4 linked regions of the Arabidopsis thaliana genome follow. The protein of the gene in region 4 interacts with the protein of the main gene of each other region in a biochemical or structural test. Each region holds a gene or a part of one and is shown on either strand. Other genes may lie near its edges.

Region 1 (5,385 bases), about 27 Mb from region 4:
TGGACCGGGCGTCAGGCTTATGAGCTGCATCATCCTTGACGATGTTGAGATCATGGTATGTCTACTTATACAAGACACAAAGTGAAAAACGGTTAAATTTTCTCGAGGTTGACCCTTCAGTGACTCTTTGCCCAGGAAAATGCAGTGGTGACTAACGCAATTGTTGGGTGGAAATCTTCTATCGGGAGATGGTCCCGCGTCCAGGCATGTTTCCCTCTTCTGCTCATCTCTTAAGAGCCTGACTCATTCTTTTTGGACCTTGAAATGTTTTTGTTTGATTCCTTTACAATCGTGAACCTGAAGTTGTACTTTGTTGATCACAGGCTGAGGGAGTCTACAATTCGAAACTCGGAGTTACAATTCTCGGTAAACTGTTCCTCCATTGTAGCTCCTTCTCTTTATATACAGAAAGCAAAATCTCTTTATAGACAGATAACTAACCTCAAACATAATGGTTACAGGAGACTCGGTTGCAGTTGAAGACGAGGTTGTGGTGACCAGCAGTATTGTTCTTCCAAACAAGACACTGAACGTCAGTGTTCAAGACGAGATCATTTTGTAACTGAAAAACGGAAGTTGAAAAATGGAACCAACCCAGTGGGGAGCAGCCACACTATCTCCCTCTGATTCAATATCTACTGGAGAACCACATAAGCAAATATTTGGGAACTAATTCACATGTATCATTTATTTACACCAAGAATTTTCCAACATTGTATCAATTCCATTTTCTATACTCACAACACAGCTACTGTAAAAGGCACTGAATTTTTGCCCAGAATAATAAAGCACTTGTGTAGTTTTGGCATTGATAATAAACTGTTCTTGCAAAATCCTATGAAGCCTTTCCTGGTCCAGTCTCTATTAACTGCAATGCAATGCTTTGGGGAAGTATTGATTGTTGTAAACATAGCAAGAGTCTATCCCCAATCACATGCAGACTAGTAACTTCATAGCCTGAACTTCCGGAGAAGCCGGCTACCAGATTTACTCTGCAATCTCAAGATCTCCTTTGCAAAAGCTTGATTCCCTGTCAAAAGAAGCCCGTTCAGAACTCGATTAAAAGTAAATTTCCGGGGTATAAACCCTCTCTCAACCATCTCAAGCAATAGTTTACCAGCGACCACCATATCTTCTGATCTTTTTCTCACAAACATTCCACTTATCAGTATGTTGTAAGTATCTAGATTTGGCAAGCAATCACCACTCCCCATTTTCTCAAACAAACCCAACGCTTTCTCGACCTCGCTGCATTCCGAATAATAACGGATCATCATGTTATATGTCTGGAAGTTTGGTTCACAGCCTTCATTCTCCATTCTCTGCATCAACTCCTCTCCACGACTAAACTCTCCAGCGTGAAACAACCCTCTTATCAACACATTATAAGTCGTCACATTCGGCTCATAACCTCTCCTCACCATTTCCTCAAACATCACAACCGCATTCTCCACATTATCTTTCTTACACAAAACTTGAATCATAGCATTGTACGTCGCAACAGAAGGAAGCACACCTTCTCTAATCATCTCATCGAAAACATTCCTCGCCCGCTTTATCTCCCCCGCAACACCAAACCCGTGAACCACAGTAGTATAAGTGACAACATCTATTTCACAATCCCGTTTCTTCATCTCCAAGAAGAATTCCCAAGCATGTCTAATCTGCCCAGCTCTGAAAAAACCTTTGAGCATTGTGTTATAAGTAGTCAAATTAGGGTTTATCCCTCTCTCAACCATCTCTTTCAAAACTTCTAAAGCCTTAGGCGTCCTTTTAATCAAACACCAACCGTTAAGAATCACATTGTAAGTAACTGTATCAACACTAAATCTTCCCCTAAGAGCTCTAAACAACTCATAAGCTTTCTCTACGCGTTTAGATTTACACAACACATCGAGAATCGTATTGAAAGAAGCTAAATCTTGAAAACAACCATGTTCGTGCATATTCAGAAACAGCTTAACCGCTTTATCGGGCTTCCCAGCGGATGCGTACCTCTCGGCGACGATTGCGAAGGTTTTGGGAGAAGGACCGATGCGGAGAGAGCGCATACGGTGAATGAGTGACCAGACGGTGGGGTGGAGGTGAAGACGGGCGGCAATGTCGATTGCGAGATCGAAGGAGGAAGCGTCGTGGACATATTCGCGGTGGTGATTGTCGAGGAAGTGGAAGAATTGGAGAGCTTTAGGGCCGTGGTTCCAGAGTCGCTTGAGAACAGAGTTCACGAGATTTGGGGTCCATGGGGTTGTTTTGGTGGAGAGTAGAAATTGATCGTCTTGGTGAGTTGTGTTCGGAGAAGAGAGGATAAGCTTAGCTATGGCGGCGGAATCTGCCGGCGGTGGTTTGAGATTGGCTCCGGCGGCCGAAGTACATAGCGATTTGCTAAAAAGACGTTTCATCGATTGGTTTGTTTTATTTTGTTTTGAAAAAAGTCTTTTTAAGTGACTTCTTGGGTAATTTGGTGTAGTTGTATCACATTTGTTTACCGCTAAATAATGTTTTAACCGTTTTATGGAACGTTTCTTTCTTTTTCAGATTGTACAGAGTTAGTTGGTTTATGGGTCTAATTGGGCATTCTTTGGAAATGGTCTCACAAGACATTGTGGAGTTCAAAGAAGAGTTCGACGATTCTCACAAACCAAACAGCAGAGTCGATTGCTAACCAGGCCTTTCCATCTAAAACATATTGGTTATAATTGATGCATTGCGGTAGGAGTATAGCGTATCCGTTGTAATTGATTATGAAAATAATACCAAAGCGATTAAAAAGATACTTTCACCGCACCGTTCTTTCTATCCGTTACTTTATACCACTTTTAATTATTTACATATCGTTAACCGCTTTCTCTATCTGCTTAAATTTTTGTACCGTTTTATGTTATTAATCAAACCTTGAATGGATATGTTTGTTTTTGTAATGGTGTCCACCAAAGTTTATTTGATGAGTTACAAAAATAATTATATTTTAAAGTTTTGAGAAAAAAAATCATGTTTGTGAACTTTCAATTGATTCACCTCATGAAGATTTTATAAGTTCTATATAGATTTTGTGAATCTTCAAAAGTACAAATATATGTACTCTTTTTCCAACATAAATGTAGTGAAAATTTTATTTTATGTGAAAGAATGAAAAGAAACCAAGTGAAAGAAATTAATAGACAGTACATGTAATTACTGAATACGAAAGATAAAAAGAGAGGAGAGTAGTCATTGTCAGATAGAAAGAAAGAGCAGACAAAAGGATCGTAAAATCAAAGAAAATTGGGTCCCTAAAAAGATTATGACCGTGAAGACACAATATTACGTTTTCTGACAAGACATAAACACATCACTCATCGCCTTTAGATTCTCTTCCGACCCTCACAAGATCTTAACAACAACAACAACAACATCAAGATCCGATCCTCCAGATTCTCTTCTGTGTATTTCCTTAAATCTCCTCCTCTTTCTCTTTCCTATTTATTTATGTATCTCACTCACCGCTTCTGCCTCTCTCTCTCTCTCTCTCTTATTTATGTAACTCCTCGTCTTCCTTCTTCACATTGATTTCTGCGTCCTTTGACGTTCAAACTTTAAACGTTTCTTCATCTGTTTTGTTGTTTACTTTCCCGAGAGAAAACAATGGCTCTCAGAGATTTATCTTCTTCTTTATCTTCTTCTTCTTCACCGGAGTTACATGTTCTTGCCGTTGATGATAGTTTCGTGGATCGTAAAGTTATTGAGAGATTGCTTAAGATCTCTGCTTGTAAAGGTAAAAGGCAAAACTGTTTCTCTTTACGTTTTCTGCTTTTCTTTTGTTTGGTTTCTGATTCGTTTTTTTGGATAAATTTGGTGGGTTTCTTTATATAGTGACGACTGTTGAGAGTGGGACTAGGGCTCTGCAGTATCTTGGTTTAGATGGAGACAATGGATCTTCTGGTCTTAAGGTATATATTCATTCATTTCTTAGAATCTCTCTGTTTTCTAGCAAAATCAACCCTAGACGTTGAAACTTGAAGTGTTCTTATGCTGGTTTGGCTCCCAAGAAATCTAAGGTTTCACAATGTGGATCAAAAGTTTAACCTTTAGAGGATGATTTTATTATTTGTTTATTGATGCCGTTTATATGAACAATTTTGCAAATTTTGATAACAGGATTTGAAAGTGAACTTGATAGTGACGGATTATTCAATGCCGGGACTAACAGGATATGAACTCCTCAAGAAGATCAAAGTAAATTTCTATTTTGTGTCATTTATTAGAGCAAGATTTGAATAAGCTCTTCTCGTGTTTTCCTTACAAAAATTCTGTTGTATATTTGCCAGGAGTCTTCAGCACTCAGAGAAATCCCAGTAGTGATAATGTCTTCTGAGAACATACAACCTCGTATAGAACAGTAAGTCACTATAGCTAAAGATACAAAACTGAATCAATGGATCTTAACACTGTAATCTGATTTTTTTGTCTATCCTCTCTTTTGTTGTTGTTGTTGTTGTAGATGTATGATAGAAGGAGCAGAGGAGTTTTTGCTAAAACCGGTGAAATTAGCTGATGTGAAGCGTTTAAAAGAACTTATAATGAGAGGTGGTGAAGCTGAAGAAGGAAAAACCAAAAAACTTAGTCCTAAGAGAATCCTACAAAACGACATTGATTCATCTCCATCATCATCATCAACATCTTCATCATCGTCGTCTCATGATGTTTCCTCCCTTGATGACGACACTCCATCTTCCAAGAGGATCAAATTAGAGTCTAGGGGTTAAATGATTGAGCTCAATCTTTTCTCACGTTTTCTCTTGATTTCCTTGTGTAATATACATTATTTTTGATATATGCAACTATGTAAGTCTAGATTCTAATGCTCACCTTATTACTCTGTTTTTTTTTTTTGTTAAAACAAAAGGAGATCAATGTGAATATGATTTAAACAATTTTATAAAATTAAATACTTTGCCTACAGTATATATATTGTTTCCTACTTCACAACCAGATCAATTAGATTCTATAATGTAACATATAATTTAAAAGTACACGTAAAAAGATTTTGTATATGATCTTCCATGTGACATACACGATTTCACTTGTATGTGTTTATAATTCATAAACTTTCAAGCATCAGAAAACAAAAAAAAACGAATATAATCTTTGTTGGAATACATTATCTATTACTATATTCCTAGTTGTATAGCAGAGGAAACTTGTTTGCACTTACGTGGCATCTTATGATTGGTTCAGTGATGTCTGTTTTAGACCGTTGAGAGACTTGGATACCATTGCGGTCTTATCCCGAAACTCCAAGAACACATAATTTTTTTTCTTGGTGGTCTCTCCAATGGCTTTCTCTGCGACTGTGTCTCAGCTTTCTTCTCTTTCAACCATCTCCTCTTCATTACCAATTTCTTCTAG
Region 2 (5,150 bases), 5.7 Mb from region 4:
GCAGTGTTTATGACGACATATGTGTTTCGCCCAAGTGTATATATGTGCCTGGATTTTGATCATACTCGCGGATGTATTTGTATATGTGTCTTACAAAAAGAAACATAGTCCTACCAAAACAGGACAAACTTTTCCAAGCAAGTCTTGGATCTCCTCGCTTACTTCGATCTGGTCTCGAGACAATGTCTCTCGCATATCAGGACAACTTTACTCAGACCATGCCTCGATATTTAATAATATAGAAGTCGTTACCTATATAAAGAGAATCCTCGTAGTCCAATTTGATGTTTAACTTTATTCGTAGTCTCTGATTTGTTCGATGACTAAACGATTTTATTAACACTTTGGTTTTCAAATATCTCCTCTTTGGTAGTTGGTACCGGTTGATGATGTGGAAGCGAGTCATATTTTCTTGTTTTAGTGGAACTAATTTTTTCCCAGTTGATTATACCTTAGAGTCAAACTTGATTATTATCGCACTGGACGCATATAGACAAATCAATACTGTTCTATGTGATAAGTCATAAAATTAAAGTTTGACAAAAATATTGTATCAATTTGTGTATATATTACTGTCACATATAAGCATGTTAACAATGAGCTGAAAATAATGTTGTTATGAGAAAAACAGTATATTTATATACGATAATAATATTAGTCTTGAAAAATAACTAGTAATATCTTTGGTATTTTGGTCATCGTATCTTGAGATTGTAAGCAAACTTTGTAAACAAATCAGTACGTGACTATATGATGAAGCATTATTTATTACGAAACCAACAAACGGAGAACACTTTTATATATATTTTAGCGTTGTTATGACTATAGTGTTTTTTCTCCTCTTGTAGCTATCGTGACTATATCATCAATAGTCCGTTTCTATTATTCAGGAACTGTTCGTTTATGTTTAAAATCAAATTATTGACTTCTAAAAAATAACTGAATACATGAAAGACTTTGGTGGTTGTGGTTCGTTTTTTTAAATTGGATTTAGGATTTTCTTTTCATAAATCTTAGGTACGGAGCAAATGGATGACTGTCTCTTGATTTGTTTATTTTATTATTCAAAATGTATGCAAAGATCTTGATAACTTGAAACATAAGACATTAAAATCTAGGTGGAAAAAAACATTTGAAAGCAAGTTTGTTCCATATATAAATTGCAATGAAAATAAGAAAATGTGAAACATATTGATGGTTTTTTCCTTTTCCTTTCAGTAATGTTCTTATCACCAATGTTTTGTTTGGCACGATCATCAAATGTTTAGACATGTGGATCAACATTGTAATAATTTTCTCTTCAAATGACTGACTCTTTTTTTTTTTTTCAAAATAATGTTTTTCGTAAGTGTTAGGTGTGAAGACCATCATGTTTTTGCTAGATTCTTGTAGATCTCAACATTGATATTTGTAGATATCTATCAAATCGTTACAAAAAGTTTGCTAGATTCTAAATTAATGCTAAGAAACCAGTTTTCTTTACAAAATGTTTTTGTCAATGTCCTCTCACAATCGGCTAAAAGATGTTACAAACTATAAAGGATCCTCCTCCACAACTTTTGAAGATTTTACTCTCTCCAGATTTTGTCCAAAAAGGACTCACAAAATCACACAATGATGGTCAACTAAAAAAAATCACTAAACAACTTAAATGAAATGATGACAAAACTATTCCCTTTTGTTGCAAAATAAAAAAAAAAACCTTTTAAATCTGCAAAGAGATCCTTATATGATATGGCTGTTGTCCTGGTATTATTTCTCCAATTTAATTTAGGAATTTCATGTTTGACACTTATTTAGGGATCGTATAATATACGTTTTTTAATTGATTTGAAACCAAATAACATGTACTATTGCCTTAGTCCTCTTGCAATTCGTTTAGAAGATGTTATGATTGAGACAAAAGGATCCACCCGCAATACTTTGTCCATATTTTTCTCTCAAGATTTTGTCCAAAAGCAAAAGAGACTCACAAATCACACACAATGGTCCACTAAACAGAGTGCCTTTATTGCATACAAAATTCAATCAATTTAATAAAGGAAACTCAACTGAAAACGATGACAATAAAAAATAAAAAATGTCCCTTTTGTCTTTAAATAAAATAATAACCCTTACTGACGTAAAGAAAATTAAATTAAGATAACCTTGTAAAATACTTCTTACCCAAATTAAAAAAGAAAAAAAAAAAGACAACAAGAGGATTAAATTGTATTAGTATCACCATCATACCATTACACATAAATAAAATTTAGTAGAGTATAAACGAATCACGTGTATAGGAAAATACAAAATACAATGTTGAAGTTAAAATGAATATAGAAGTAGATTAATTGAGCAATAACCACCGGTTTTAGATCATTGATTGATATGTAAGTAAAATGCAAAGTAGTAGCCGACTTGGCAAAGAAAAAGAAAAAAGAAGAGAGAGAGAGGTAAAACTAAAATAAAATTACTAAAAGCAGAAGGAAAGTTCCAGGTCACGAGGGAGTAGTCGCTGTCGGATTGAAAGAAACAGACCAAACAAAGATCTTTGAAATCTTAAAAAAGATTCGGTGCCCAAAGATTTTGACCTTTGAAGACACATTTGATTATTTGTGTTTTCTGACACTTCCCAAACACATAACATCAACACTTGACCCATTTTTAAGATTTTGTTTCCTCTTCAAAGATCTTACCCCGCAAGATCCGATCTTCCAAATCTCTCTCTATCTACTATACTAGTACTTATTAAACCCCACCACCTCTCCCTTCTTATTTATGTCACCTAACCTAACTTCTTCTTCTTTCATTTTATCACATTCATTTCCTTTGTCTTCAATCCAAAGCTTTCCTCTTCTTGGAACCAATCTGCTCTCTTTTTTATTCTGAGTTTGACAATGGCGGTTGGTGAGGTCATGAGGATGGAGATTCCCGCCGGTGGAGATTTGACTGTTACTACTCCGGAGTTGCATGTTCTTGCCGTCGATGATAGTATTGTGGATCGTAAAGTCATCGAGAGGTTGCTTAGAATCTCTTCTTGTAAAGGTAAAAACTCAAAACCAATCTTTTTCTGCTCTGTTTTTGTTGGTTTTAACTCTCCTCTGTTTTTCTTCTTCATTAACAAACTCTCCTCTGTTTTTTAGTTACAAGTGTCTTTTTTTTTTTGTTATTTCAGTGACGACTGTAGAGAGTGGAACTAGGGCTTTGCAGTATCTTGGCTTAGATGGAGGCAAAGGGGCTTCTAATCTTAAGGTAATTAAGAATAAATCTTCCCTCTTTTGCTATCTACTGAGAAGAACTCTTGTATATTTAGGAAAGACCGAAGGAGTGAAACCTTTGCAACTTTGGCTTTGGCTATTGCTTCTTCTTGTCTTTATGATCAAATGAGATTTAGAAATGAACTAGTCTAGTTAGTGATTTATGTGTTTTGGTATTAAGATTTGATTTTGTTTGTGATTTTCATCATAACAGGATTTGAAGGTGAATTTGATAGTGACGGATTACTCAATGCCAGGACTTTCAGGATATGATCTCCTTAAAAAGATTAAGGTAATAACAATAATAATGGATTTACCAATCTGAGAAAGACTTAAACAAAGCTTTTTTAATGCTGCTTATACAAAACTCCATTGATATGTGCAGGAATCTTCAGCATTCAGAGAAGTACCAGTAGTGATTATGTCATCTGAGAACATCTTACCTCGTATACAAGAGTAAGTACTGATTGTGTAATGTGTAGTGATACAGATGGGATCATATTTGTGTCTACACTGTGATCTAAACTTATCGACTTCTTCTTCTTGTTTTTAGATGTCTCAAAGAAGGAGCAGAGGAATTCTTGTTGAAACCGGTGAAGCTAGCAGATGTAAAGCGAATCAAACAACTTATAATGAGGAATGAAGCTGAGGAATGCAAAATCTTAAGCCATTCTAACAAGAGAAAGCTTCAAGAAGACAGTGATACATCATCATCAAGTCATGATGATACTTCTATCAAGGACTCTTCATGTTCAAAACGAATGAAATCAGAATCTGAAAACCTTTTTTCTCTACTTTGAATTATATGTATAGAGGCCAAGACCTTAGCAAAACCATTCTGTTAATATTCCTCAAGAAAGACAATGTTTGAGAGAGTCATCACACTACTCATGATGTTGCTTAAACAAAACAAAACAAAAAAGAGAAAAGAATCAAATGTTAGGTTCACACTGACTTACACCTCATGTAAATTCTTCAATGCTTGCAACTCAAGCTTAGGATGCTCTTCTCCCGGAAGTATTGGTCTATCATCAATCACGCAGGAATCGTTTTTCAGGTAAGTGAGTCTGCAAACCGCCCAAACAGGATCCGAAGACAATTGGAATTCTTCTACTTTCCACCCGGTCATTGAGTGGACACGCCCCACATCGAGATTGAAAGAATATCTTGTTTTAGTTCCCAGAACATTTTTCTCTATGTCATTATCTATGATTTGTGTAACAACACCATTGACCCTCCATGTTTTCTTCTTGCCCCTGAGGTAGAACATCAAATTCAGCTTTTCACGACGAGACGAACACTTTCTCACAAAGTAGTACCATTCACTGTCCTTGTAAAAAGGAGATCTAACATGTTCAAGAAGCCATGGCTCCATGGCATATAGCTCTCTCTCTCTCTTATGAAGCAGCTGAAGTCTGGTGAATGGGCCTTTGGAGTGAGGTACAAAGAGAGTAGCTCTTGATCAGTCGGATGAAATCGGAATCCGTAAGTAAAGACACTTGGTGGGACGTTCTGACCAGAACTCAGAGCATCATGTATCTGCTTCAACACATCCCATTTCAAGCGTGGATGTTCAAACCCGTTCAATCTAGGCTTATCTAAGTACTCATTCCCGAGGGGGTTTTTCTTAACAAAGTAATACCATTCATAGTGATTGTAACACGGATCTCTCACATGCCCAAGTACCCACGGATCCTTGTCGTACAAGTCTATGGTTTTGATAAAGCAGCTGAACTCCGGCGATTGTGTCTTCCGCATAAGGTAGTCTGTCACTTCTTCATCAGCTGGGCGAAATCGAAACCCGCGTGTTAACACCTCTGACATTTTTGCTTCTGATCCAAGAAACGAGAAACCAAATTCATCAAACTCGATCTCTAAAAACAAACAGTGATCTATTATTCTAAAAGAAAA
Region 3 (6,001 bases), 2.6 Mb from region 4:
TGCATGAGTGTGTGTGATAATAAGCATAACACATCGAAATAGAAGTATAAACTTCGCAAATAATAATTAACGACTAAGAATAAAAAAAAACTTTGCAATATGGTGTTAGAGCCCACAATTTTCTTAAATTAAGACAAACGAGTAACTTCGTTTTCATCGAGATCAACATGGCCTCATATTGATGGTGAAATTTTTGATACATAAAGCTAGAGAGCACAATTTGGAAGAGAATAATTACTAGCTCACAAAAAAGTCTAAGAATCAATAGGATAGGAGATATAACTCAGACAACATAAGAGTGATACCAAGGAAGGAGAAAGACCAATCTATGTTATCCAACAAATGCTTTGTAGATTAGATATGAGCTTATGTTGACATTAATCTGGATTTTCGGATTTGAGATTCAACTATATTTCCATGTACGTATAGACTAAAATTGAGTTTCTATATGATCCATTGATCCTGTAACAAAATCTAGACGTCAAAATGAAAATATTCAAGTGTACATGATTTTGAGTATTGTATAATTAGGTCAACTAATCAATTACTTTTATTTCTACAAATATATTATACTATGTAGAAAATATTTACAATAATGATTAGAATATAAAGATGCTCCAAACCTCAATCGAGTACCAACATAAAATTAATTAAAGGGAAAATGTCAATGTCTTTAATTTTGTAATTGATGTCCAAAGTTCCTAGAAAAAAGATAGATTACGATTTTATGTGCGACACGTTGATGACTACTTTTATGGATTTTTTTGTTCAACCCTCGATTTTGAGTTGACATCATGAAGATTTGATCCATCATTCGTTGGCCCATATCGTTTGAAAAATCAATTCTCAAATCAATCTTAAATTTCGCGTAATTATTTTATAAAAATGGGCAATATATCCATTGTAAGATTTGTCTATTTCACGCGTCATTTTTCTTTCTACTTTGTTAGATGTTTTTGGTTAATGTAGAAAAACGATTAAATTAGAGACACTATCAATTAGAAGAAACAAAAGTCTTTTGATAAAACTCTACTTTGATCATCCACGACTGTGATCGATAACTTCTAAGCAACCTTGAAACCTGATCTTTTGAGCTTTAACTTTAAGTAGGAAAATGTCATAGTATTGGATTTGGTCGTCTTTAGTTTACATTCAATCTGGAATAAATTTGTTTCTCTAGAAAAAATAAAGAGCCAAAGAATCATTATATATATTTATTGTTCTCATGTTTATATACCTATTTTTTCTTAATAGTAGCTCTTTATTATCAAGAGATTTTTAAAAACACCTATATTGTCATAACATTTTCATAAAATTTTTAAAAATAAAATAGAAAATCAAAACATTTACCCTTTCAACAAAAAGAAATAATAATGATATTTTATATAAAAAAATATAATAAATGGGTGGGAAAGAGAAAGCAAAAGCGATCTCCAAGATTTGATACGGTGTGGTGTCTAAAAGAGTGAAACAGCAAATTATGTTTGGAAGATTAAAGAAAAAAAAGAAGAAGAGAGGTAAAGTCCAATTCCCCCTTTCATTAATACAAATTGTTCCCAACAAAATATTTATGGGTCCCTCTTTTAGATTTCCCTGGGTCCCGCGGATCCAAATTTTAATGTGGACGTCAAATCCTTTTTTTTTATTATTATTTGTCCACTTTCCTCTTCTTCTTTTTTTTTTTTTTGCCATTTGAAAACGATATAAATAAAAGTGTTTGGATAACATAAAATTTCTAGAGTCATATGGATGGATATACTACTAGTTAGGCGTATACTAATTTTCTCGTCAACCCACAAAACCCGATCTTAATATTATTCTATGAATTGCATTTGAACCATAAATTTTAAATTAGAAACTGACCAATCACATGGAACAATATAAAATTGTCTTAGTGGTTAGTACTTAATACAAATAAGACCAATCCGAAGAACCGAGCCGGTTAAGTTTAAACACGCTACTATGAATTGTAATGGTGTATGACCAAAATTAGCTTCTTTAATCTTCTGGTTTATTATTCTTAACAGTGAGTGATTCCATTTTCAGTTTTTTTTTTCCAATCACACTAATGAGTAATGACGAGATTTTGACTAAGAAGTTGTATATATCTCACGATGGTATATTTTTATTTTTTGGATTCCTTTGTACGGATTTCTTCTCCTCTATTATTTATTCGATTTTAGGAATATTATTTTCTCTATGATATTCGCATAGGCCCTCCACCGGATTTTCCATAAAATCTCTATTTATTAATACTATTGTTTTCAAAGATAAAAGTTCAATTTTTTCAACCCTAAAAGCACGGCACATAAAAATATATAATTTTCACATTAATAGGAACCAAAGATTTTGTTGGATTTTCCTCGCTGGAGATTTTTCAAAATAAAAATTGAAAAAACCAAAAAGACACACTCATAAAAGATTTATTTTAGAGAACAAAAAAATCAGAAATATAAAAAACTGTCTTAAGGAAGAGAAAGGAACAAAAGAAAACAGATGTGAGCTCTTCTTCTTCGTCTTCTTCTCTCTATTTTATTCTCATCCTCTCCTCACAGTTACTATAAGCTCGTCTATGGCCAGAGACGGTGGTGTTTCTTGTTTACGAAGGTCGGAGATGATGAGCGTCGGTGGTATCGGAGGAATTGAATCTGCGCCGTTGGATTTAGATGAAGTTCATGTCTTAGCCGTTGATGACAGTCTCGTTGATCGTATTGTCATCGAGAGATTGCTTCGTATTACTTCCTGCAAAGGTTCGTATTTTTTCAAAAAAAAAAACATCTTTCACTTTTTTTTATTCCTCGCCGGAATATTTACATCTCCGGTGGTATCGTTTGTCAGTTACGGCGGTAGATAGTGGATGGCGTGCTCTGGAATTTCTAGGGTTAGATAATGAGAAAGCTTCTGCTGAATTCGATGTAAGTTATTGAAATCTGATACAGCTTTTTGTTTTTTTTGAAGATTACGATTCGTGAGTTTGATTTAGTTTAAATGGATATTTTCAGAGATTGAAAGTTGATTTGATCATCACTGATTACTGTATGCCTGGAATGACTGGTTATGAGCTTCTCAAGAAGATTAAGGTCTGCATTTTCCCGCCATTTTCCTGTTTCAGATTACGGTTGTTTTAGTAACAATGTTGAATTTTCCGGTCATCTGAAACAGGAATCGTCCAATTTCAGAGAAGTTCCGGTTGTAATCATGTCGTCGGAGAATGTATTGACCAGAATCGACAGGTGTGATTCTTGTTGATTTCTTCACAGATTTTGGAGTTTTTAGAAACTGTTGATTGATTTGATAAAATTTTGTAAAAAAAAAAAATGATTTTTGAACAGATGCCTTGAGGAAGGTGCTCAAGATTTCTTATTGAAACCGGTGAAACTCGCCGACGTGAAACGTCTGAGAAGTCATTTAACTAAAGACGTTAAACTTTCCAACGGAAACAAACGGAAGCTTCCGGAAGATTCTAGTTCCGTTAACTCTTCGCTTCCTCCACCGTCACCTCCGTTGACTATCTCGCCTGAATCGTCGCCGCCGTTGACTGTTTCGACTGAATCGTCGGATTCGTCTCCGCCGTTATCTCCGGTGGAGATCTTTTCCACCTCGCCACTTTCATCTCCGATAGACGATGAAGATGATGACGTGTTGACGTCGTCGTCGGAGGAATCGCCGATTCGACGGCAGAAGATGAGGAGTCCCGGATTAGATTAGTGGAACTATTCTGGGATGCCGTGTAATATTATCTATCTCCGTTAACTTCGTTTTTACCTCTGACGGTGTTTTTAATTGCACGTTGACTTGACGCCGTCAAATTTTATAGATGTCCCTTTAATCTCTCGCGCCTCCACGTGGGCCTTTTTTCCTTTTCCTTAAAGCTTTTCGAATATCTTTTAATTATTTTAATTTCTGCACAAAGTTACGTTTTTAACTTTTTTAGTCTTTAAACAAAGGGAAAATTGCAATCGAACCTTCGACATTCACCATTTATTATGATAACGAGACTTGAATATGCGTTTTTTTCTTATGTATTGGGTCCTAAATAAGTCAATATCATAGACATATGGGGTTTTATAATCAGAAAGTTAGCTAGATCTGACAATTCAAGAATCAGAGAGCTAAGGTTTTTTTTTCCAGATACAAATCAACTAGTAACATTTGAATCCACTATAGTCATTAAACAGTTCCATAAATATATATCAGTTTTATGACCCAAAATACTCCTATTAATGACTATAAGCCGATGCTCTAATTTTTTTGGCTAAATTATAAATATTTCATAGATAATGAAAACAATTTAGGTTACAAACATAAAATTTGAAACTTATACATATGAATTTATAGTAAAAAAGAATAAAAATATAAATGCATAAAAGGCGGTTAATTAAAACCAAATTTTGGGTCCATTTTTCAACCTTGCAATGAAGCTAAGGGAATAGATGAAACGATGACGTTCAATTCTATCCTTCCCAAAAGAGATGCACAAGCCGATGCTCTAATGCAACTTTGAATATACATATTTAACCCAAGAAAAAAATGCTTATAATATACGACGAAGTAGTGGATGCATCATTATGCATGTGTAGATGTGTAGAGAGTAAGCAAGAAAATAAAAAGAAGAAAGAAGGAAGAGGAAGAAAGAATAAATGCAAAGCTGGAAATGGGCAACTCTTGTTCCCTTCCTTTGGGGCATATTTCTCCATAAATAGTCTCTATAGATCCCTTGTCTCTGGCACCCATTTTGGTGTTTCTTTTTTTATGGTCATGTGTTTTTACCATTTGGATCCAAGTAAGATCTTCACATTAGAAACCACGACCAATATAATTAAGCTTGGGATAGCTTTAACTTTTGTATATATGTTGCTTAACGTGTGTGTTTCGGATCTATGTTTGATTGGTACTAGAGGTTGTTATAGGCGGTTGGTCGTAAACTTATTTATCATCGAGAAGACCGCTGCAACAATCTAAGGACATGACCCAATTGCTATTCGCATTCATTTTCTGATGAACAAATCAGATGTTCTTTCGATTATCTAATAAAACATATTATATCTCACTTTATTTTAGCTTGTAATCCAAATTTAGACGTCAGGTGTTCTTTTTCTCTAAATCAACCTAATTCAACCTAAATCAACCATTGAACGAAATTCTATATTCACACACGAATTTTACTCGTATTATTTATAAAAAAAATAATAAAAGATACAATATAAAGAGTTGGATTAGTATAATAATCTAATGACAGAGCCAACCACATTGGAAAGACGAAATCAATTTTAAAATTTGTAGATGCAATGTATATAACCAACAAAATCATTAATTATTGTCGACAACAAAATCATCCCCAAACGATACTCCTCACGTTTGGCGTATTTAAAATTTTGCAATAAATTAACAAAAATTGTCCTTGGTTTGCGTTTTGTCCCTTCATGTGGGGGAATAAATCTCTCTACCACATCTTTTTCTTTTGTCATCTTTGGGGTACTGTAGTGTCCGATCGCTGTTGCATGTGTGTTTCCACGTTTTTTGCTTTACTCTTAACATGTAGATTACTTTTGTCTACGGCTAGTTTGCTGTTTAATTTATTCTTCTTTCTTTTTAGATAGTAATTTGAAAAATTTGAATCTTATGTCCATTATCTTCTTCGTATTTAGAGGAAACATCAAGTAAAATTAGTTTTTCTTTTTTCTTTTTCTTGTTGTCGATATGATAACTCATGGTTTTGAATATATAGTAGAGATAAGCATAGCACAATAAAAGTCATTGCATGAAGGATAGTTTTGTTTTGCTTTGCTTAACGGCTAACAAAATATATCTTACTATATATAATGACTTTTGCTTAAACTAAAATTCTGGCACCACCACAATGAAAACTTGTTTTTTTGGTTTACATGATTAAAATTAAACATTGTGTTGCTTCTTCTGTAACACAAACAAAAAAGTATCCCAAATTTTGAATTTAAACAATAAACCAATATCAAATATATATATAGAAAGTTGAAAACAA
Region 4 (5,855 bases):
CTTGGACGAGCGAGATTTCCGTGACACGTCAGCTTTCTGGTTCGATAATTACTCTATTGTACTAGCTACTACCTTTGTTTTATAATTGTACTTTATTATTTTTTCCAGATATATTTTGCTCGATTTTAAAACACAAAATCAGCGTTACAATTTCATTTTCCTGATTGAAGTTGATGAAAAAATAAAATAAAGAATTTTCCTGATATTTAACACAAATCATAACGCATATCGTAGGAAGTTTAGCTTATGATAGATGGTTAAGTAATGGTCAATGTAACTGATGAAAGTTTTAGTCAATATCAACTTTGAAGTGTGTCCTAGTCTATATCTAACTAAGCTTTACTGTACTATATCCACTTCCAACAAATCTTGCGACCAAAAGTTTATTTCACAACTACTTTTGATTAGTTAAATGTTATAGTCCCTAGTTAGTACTAAATGTTTGATTCGCCATAGGGCTTCTTTGATGAAGTTATAGATTAACACATCTATCGAAGAAATGTTTCGTATACCGACTCTTGCATAAATCAACAAATGTTTTTGTCAATTGTTTTCACTCGTTTACATTTAGCCATTATACTAATTACTAACTTACTTCATTGACCAAAAAATATATAACTGTATTAATCTATATTTATATATGAAAGAAAGTTTTAATATTTTACGAATGAATAAAATGAATATGAGAAAGATGTAAAAGCTAGCTATGACAGTTAGATAGGTGAAAGAGAAAAAAAAAGATTTGTAAGGTTGTTCCAACTGTCTAAATTTTACAAAGGTAGCTGGCAAATGGTCCTTCAATTCCGTGGGCGTAAAGAAAGATAATTGGTAAAAAAGTTGGACAACGCATAAGAGATTGACTTTAAGTTTAAAAGCAAAAGGAAAAAAAAAGAGTAAATATGGTAAAAACAGTGACATGTTATATTTCTCTAGTTTTTACTCATTTGGTTTTTCACAAAACTTGTTGTTTGTATGTTAAAAAAAGGAATAGGAGCTTGGACCACAAGTTTTAGCAACAACACATGCATAAGATGGTCAGGTCAACATTTATAACGCTTACCCAATTTTAACATTTGTTTCACTACATACGCAAGCAACAAAATAGCTCGATATATACCTCTACTGTACAATCTTTTGCCTTGTGTACGTATATTAGCAGATTGTCTCTACTTTTGATGTGCATTAATTAGTTTCATAAGTGTAACTACCGTTTTCTGAAAATAATTAACTCATAGCGTACATCTAAATACGTTTCAAATAATGATTCGCTACTGATTCACATATACCAACCATGCATAATAAAAATGATTTAGTATTCATTCTAAGAGAGACTAGGTAGTGATGAGTAGACCAAATTAGATTTATGAAAAGAAAACTTGGCTTTGCAAGAAAGCCAAAGCAATACGTTCCAATCATAATGAACAAAATTAAAAAGGTCTAAACCCTAAGATGGTCCGCACTACGAGACAATTAACGCACTCGTTTTGGGACTCTTGTGTTTGTTTGGTGTGTCGTCGAATCCTCTCTCCATAGAAGGTAAGATCACATAGTAACCGATATAAGATTTGCTTTGACTTTTGAATCGGTTTCATGAAGAACCCTAAAACCAACCATGTTATAAGGATATTACAAAATTATTTTAAAAACATTGGTTGAGAGAAATAAAAATGATGAAGATGGATATGATAAAATGAAGGATAGAGGAGAAAAGCTTTGTTATTATTTGTTACATTACACGCCTCCATGCCTTCAATTTATGTTTCATTAGTCTCTTTCACTTCACATACTCTTCCTTTAAAAAAAAAAAAATGCTCCACCTAGTGATTACCATAGACACATGGCTTCACATTTTTTATTCCACTTATAAACAATCTATTGATAATTCTTCGACATTTTCTTTTTATTTCATTCCTAGTTTGAGGTAATTCGGACATTATATTAAATACATACCTAACAAGACATGCCCAATCCTTTCTCAATCTATTGTCACAATCATGTCTTATAAGCCCTATAACAATAATGTTGATAAAAGAGACCATGGAATACCGTTAACAAAATAAAGAGACCATGGAATCGTGTTATCCATAATTCAAACAAATCATTCTTGATTAATCCACACATAATGAAATCGTCTAAAGTGCTAACTAGTACCCGCATGCTTTACGGCTCAAATCAAAATCATGAATCCAATAGAGTATATCAGATTCAGAATAATGCTGAGAATTCTAAGTCATGATGGTCAGAACAAAGGCTCCAAATGGTGGTTGCATTGTGACAGGAATACATATGGACATGTCTATTTATAGACTAATAATTCAATTTTTACTCTTAGAACTCAATTAAGAGTCTAAACAAGACACGATATCTGGCCAGGGACAGTGTTGCTGAACCTCATTAATCAATATAAAACATAACAACAACAACAAAACTACAGAGGAGTTTCGGTTTCATTTGTGTCATCAGCCTTGAACATTTGCATAATCGAGAAACGCATCGGTCTAATTTATATCCACTTGAGGAATTGTACCTCCAGCTTGGAGGATCTGTTTCTCTAACTGCAACAACATAACATAACAGAAACAGAAGAATGAGAAGTAGCAAAAGGCTCAGTAAAAAGAATACACAAGCAGAACAAGTAGGTTTTCGCAAAGTTTAAAACTCACATTAAAGAGATCCTGAAGTTTAGTCTTTAACATCTTATATTCATAATCCACCTGCTGTAAACACCTTAGACACCTGTGCCAGATATCATTATCACAATTTGTGTGTGAATTAGAAGAATAGCTTCTCATATAATAAAAAAGTTTAGAGATCCAATAACATTTTGCATCAACAAGCTAAAAAATATACTCACCCTTCACGGTTCTGAACATCGCAACATTCCTTGAAAGATATGCACACATTTTTCACCCTCCTTGCACCGACACTGAGTACAAAGCAGAGACTGAGCCATTAAAATCAATGTAGTTTGGTCACTTAAAACTAGAAAAGCAAATTTAGCAGTGTTCACTGTGACAAACCTGGAGCTACTACCCTTGAGTTGATGAACACCTGAATCCACCTGTTTGAAATCCACATTATCTGGCCGCTCCCTAATGTTTATAATAAACTCATAAAATGCTGTCATGAATATATGAAGCTAATTTACACCCTCAAAAATGAATATGAAGGAGGATTAGAGACAAAGTCCCATGTTAGATAAAAAAGAGAAGCCTAAGAGAGTAAGCAAAGCTTACAGGGATATAGACATGGTATTAATAAGCTTGGAACAGTCGTCGAAGAATAGAGAGACAACTTCAGCTACAAAATCAGGGGTTCCTTCATCTTGCAACTTTCTCAACTCTGAGAACTGATTATCCAGAAATCCCTTCAAAACAACAACATATTATATCATCTTTATAAAAAAAATAAAAAAATTCAAATTCACACATAACTGCACCTTAAGCTTATCTAAGCCCAAAAGTGAGAATCCAGCCAAAGTAAGAAAAGTTTGGTTAGGAACGAACCTGTTGATAAAGAGAAACGATGTAGTCTTGAAATTGTCTCTGCAACTGAGCAACGACGATGGTGTTCATAGCTAAAGTTTACCAAGAACCAGACTTGTAAACAAAGATGGTAAGAGCTTCTCAAACATACATATACCAAAAACAAACAACGGATACGGTGAACTGTATTTCGACGGTTCCGAGATCGATCTAATCGGAGGTTTTTGGCTTAATTTAAAACAGATCCAACAACAACTAGGCGAAAAGACCAAAGAACAAACTTCCAACTTAACTAAGAGATTCCAAATTCAAAATCGGAGCGACACAGAGAGAGATGATGATGAATCTGATCGGAGCGTCGAAAGTTATAATTTATTCCACGTTCCGTTGACTGATTTTGACTTAAATATCAAATGGAGGGTTATTTTTGTAAATGACTATATTGTAGGAATTAATCAAGTACGTAAATAATATTTTAGTTTGTGGGGTGCAAATCTGATTTTATAGATAGGGAAGTTGCTAGCATGCGTTCTCCACAAACGAGATATCTTTTTTTTTTTTTTTTAAAAAAAAAGGTCCAGTCCCAATTGGGCTTAGGCCCGGAATTACAATCGTCCACAGTTACAAAACAGGAAAAATCCGGTCACCGGAAAAAGAGAACCAGAGGTGGATTTGGGCAGTGGAACGGAGGCAGCAAATAGATCTATTAGTACCGTCGTATACAAGGCCCACTACTTTGCAACACAACCACCGGAACGAGATCATTGGCCGAAGTATACGAGTCCTGCCGCAAATCTCTTACCAATGAGCTGGCCGGACCTGCAACAAACCTAACGGAAAAAACCCAGTTTCCGACACTCCGCCACCCAATTTGGTCGAGTCCCCAACCTCGCAAAACGACCACGCATTTCCAAGCCTCTGACCTCCAAAACCTTAGATCTGAAAATTTTCCAAAAGCAAAGCAACCTTCAATCCGGATTGATGGAGACAAAAAACGGAGGCTAAAGAAGGGTGATGGCTCAGACAACCCTTCAGCAACCGGAACCCGCAACAGCCATCTCAGATCCAGTTTGTTAACCATCAAACACGCACTGAAAACCCACCAATCCACAGCGTCTTCCGCCACAGCTACAGCGTCTAACCAAGTGGTTGAACCAAGAAAGACTTCACCGATCTCCACCGACGTCCATAACCAGGAAGAAACGGAAGAGAAGCCTCTCATCCACCGAGAAAGGGCCACCGCTGCCACGCTTACCGGAAAAACCACACCACTCCAATGCCGGAGAAGATAGCTTGCCTTACTCCTGCTTTGTCTTGCAAATTCATAACCTAAGATGAAGAACAGAGGCAGAAAAAACTAGATCTGTAAAAACTGGAAAAAACTTCAAAGAGAGAGAAAATGAACAGTAGCGGAACGATTGTCCAAAGTCCTCCAAACGAGATATCTTTAAATGTTGTTTTGCTAATTAGTGGCGTTTCGAGAGCTAGGCGAGCAACAATGGCGATGAGATTTAATATGGTAAGTGTGTAGTTAATTAACAAAAGTTCAAACCGGATGCTATTCTTACTTGTAAAGACAAACGACCAATTAAGAATCCAAATTTTAATATAGGAATTGAAATAAACTAATGGACCTTGTTTTTGGCGATTCATTTCTTTATTTGTTATCTTAATATGGGTCACGATTCCTTTTGTTATTTAATTGTATTAAGATGTGCATTAAGATGTGGAATAATAGCACTTATGCAAATCTGTGCATTGCAAAAAAAAGAAAGAAGAAGCAAGATGGAGTCAAGTGATCGTTCAAGTCAAGCAAAAGCTTTCGACGAGACAAAAACCGGCGTGAAAGGGCTTGTGGCTTCGGGAATCAAAGAGATTCCAGCCATGTTCCATACACCTCCGGATACTCTAACAAGCCTGAAACAAACAGCACCACCTTCGCAGCAGCTGACGATCCCCACGGTGGATCTGAAAGGAGGAAGCATGGATTTGATATCGCGGCGGAGCGTGGTGGAGAAGATTGGAGACGCTGCGGAGAGATGGGGATTCTTCCAGGTGGTGAATCATGGGATCTCGGTGGAGGTGATGGAGAGGATGAAAGAAGGGATTCGCAGGTTTCACGAGCAGGACCCGGAAGTGAAGAAACGGTTCTACTCTAGGGATCACACTAGAGATGTGCTTTACTACAGCAACATCGATCTCCACACTTGTAATAAGGCTGCAAATTGGAGAGATACGCTCGCCTGTTACATGGCCCCCGATCCTCCCAAGTTACAGGACTTGCCCGCGGTTTGCGGGTAACGTTTCCCTTTCCATACCAAACACCTAGCTAGCTAGGATTCATTTCTCTTTAGTTTTTTTTTGGTTTAT

Evidence for each region.
Region 1: the proteins of AHP5 (region 4) and ARR15 form a complex in vitro, tested with the Arabidopsis thaliana proteins (one study listed by BioGRID).
Region 2: the proteins of AHP5 (region 4) and ARR7 form a complex in vitro, tested with the Arabidopsis thaliana proteins (one study listed by BioGRID).
Region 3: the proteins of AHP5 (region 4) and ARR4 form a complex in vitro, tested with the Arabidopsis thaliana proteins (one study listed by BioGRID).

What each region holds. Positions count from the first base shown.
Region 1 is NC_003070.9:28,130,947-28,136,331, reverse strand, and holds ARR15 (response regulator 15), read left to right. Parts: upstream 1-3,306; 5' UTR 3,307-3,621; coding exon 3,622-3,751; intron 3,752-3,849; coding exon 3,850-3,926; intron 3,927-4,134; coding exon 4,135-4,212; intron 4,213-4,304; coding exon 4,305-4,375; intron 4,376-4,477; coding exon 4,478-4,742; 3' UTR 4,743-4,885; downstream 4,886-5,385. Other genes in the region: AT1G74910 (ADP-glucose pyrophosphorylase family protein), read left to right, coding at 1-55, 136-204, 324-366, 462-562; OTP43 (Pentatricopeptide repeat (PPR) superfamily protein), read right to left, coding at 951-1,030, 1,118-2,399; NdhO (NAD(P)H:plastoquinone dehydrogenase complex subunit O), read left to right, coding at 5,312-5,385. UniProt on the Arabidopsis thaliana protein: Functions as a response regulator involved in His-to-Asp phosphorelay signal transduction system. Phosphorylation of the Asp residue in the receiver domain activates the ability of the protein to promote the transcription of target genes.
Region 2 is NC_003070.9:6,576,808-6,581,957, reverse strand, and holds ARR7 (response regulator 7), read left to right. Parts: upstream 1-2,643; 5' UTR 2,644-2,879; coding exon 2,880-3,027; intron 3,028-3,157; coding exon 3,158-3,234; intron 3,235-3,453; coding exon 3,454-3,531; intron 3,532-3,624; coding exon 3,625-3,695; intron 3,696-3,792; coding exon 3,793-4,039; 3' UTR 4,040-4,125; downstream 4,126-5,150. Other genes in the region: AT1G19040 (NAC (No Apical Meristem) domain transcriptional regulator superfamily protein), read right to left, coding at 4,545-5,063. UniProt on the Arabidopsis thaliana protein: Functions as a response regulator involved in His-to-Asp phosphorelay signal transduction system. Phosphorylation of the Asp residue in the receiver domain activates the ability of the protein to promote the transcription of target genes.
Region 3 is NC_003070.9:3,440,331-3,446,331, reverse strand, and holds ARR4 (response regulator 4), read left to right. Parts: upstream 1-1,971; 5' UTR 1,972-2,572; coding exon 2,573-2,750; intron 2,751-2,838; coding exon 2,839-2,915; intron 2,916-3,002; coding exon 3,003-3,080; coding exon of another isoform or gene 3,081-3,162; coding exon 3,163-3,233; intron 3,234-3,332; coding exon 3,333-3,708; 3' UTR 3,709-4,344; downstream 4,345-6,001.
Region 4 is NC_003070.9:845,879-851,733, reverse strand, and holds AHP5 (histidine-containing phosphotransfer factor 5), read right to left. Parts: upstream 3,942-5,855; 5' UTR 3,576-3,941; coding exon 3,507-3,575; intron 3,368-3,506; coding exon 3,237-3,367; intron 3,093-3,236; coding exon 3,021-3,092; intron 2,927-3,020; coding exon 2,855-2,926; intron 2,737-2,854; coding exon 2,664-2,736; coding exon of another isoform or gene 2,607-2,663; exon of another isoform or gene 2,556-2,606; coding exon 2,499-2,555; 3' UTR 2,113-2,498; downstream 1-2,112. Other genes in the region: 2A6 (2-oxoglutarate (2OG) and Fe(II)-dependent oxygenase superfamily protein), read left to right, coding at 5,160-5,782. UniProt on the Arabidopsis thaliana protein: Functions as a two-component phosphorelay mediator between cytokinin sensor histidine kinases and response regulators (B-type ARRs). Plays an important role in propagating cytokinin signal transduction through the multistep His-to-Asp phosphorelay.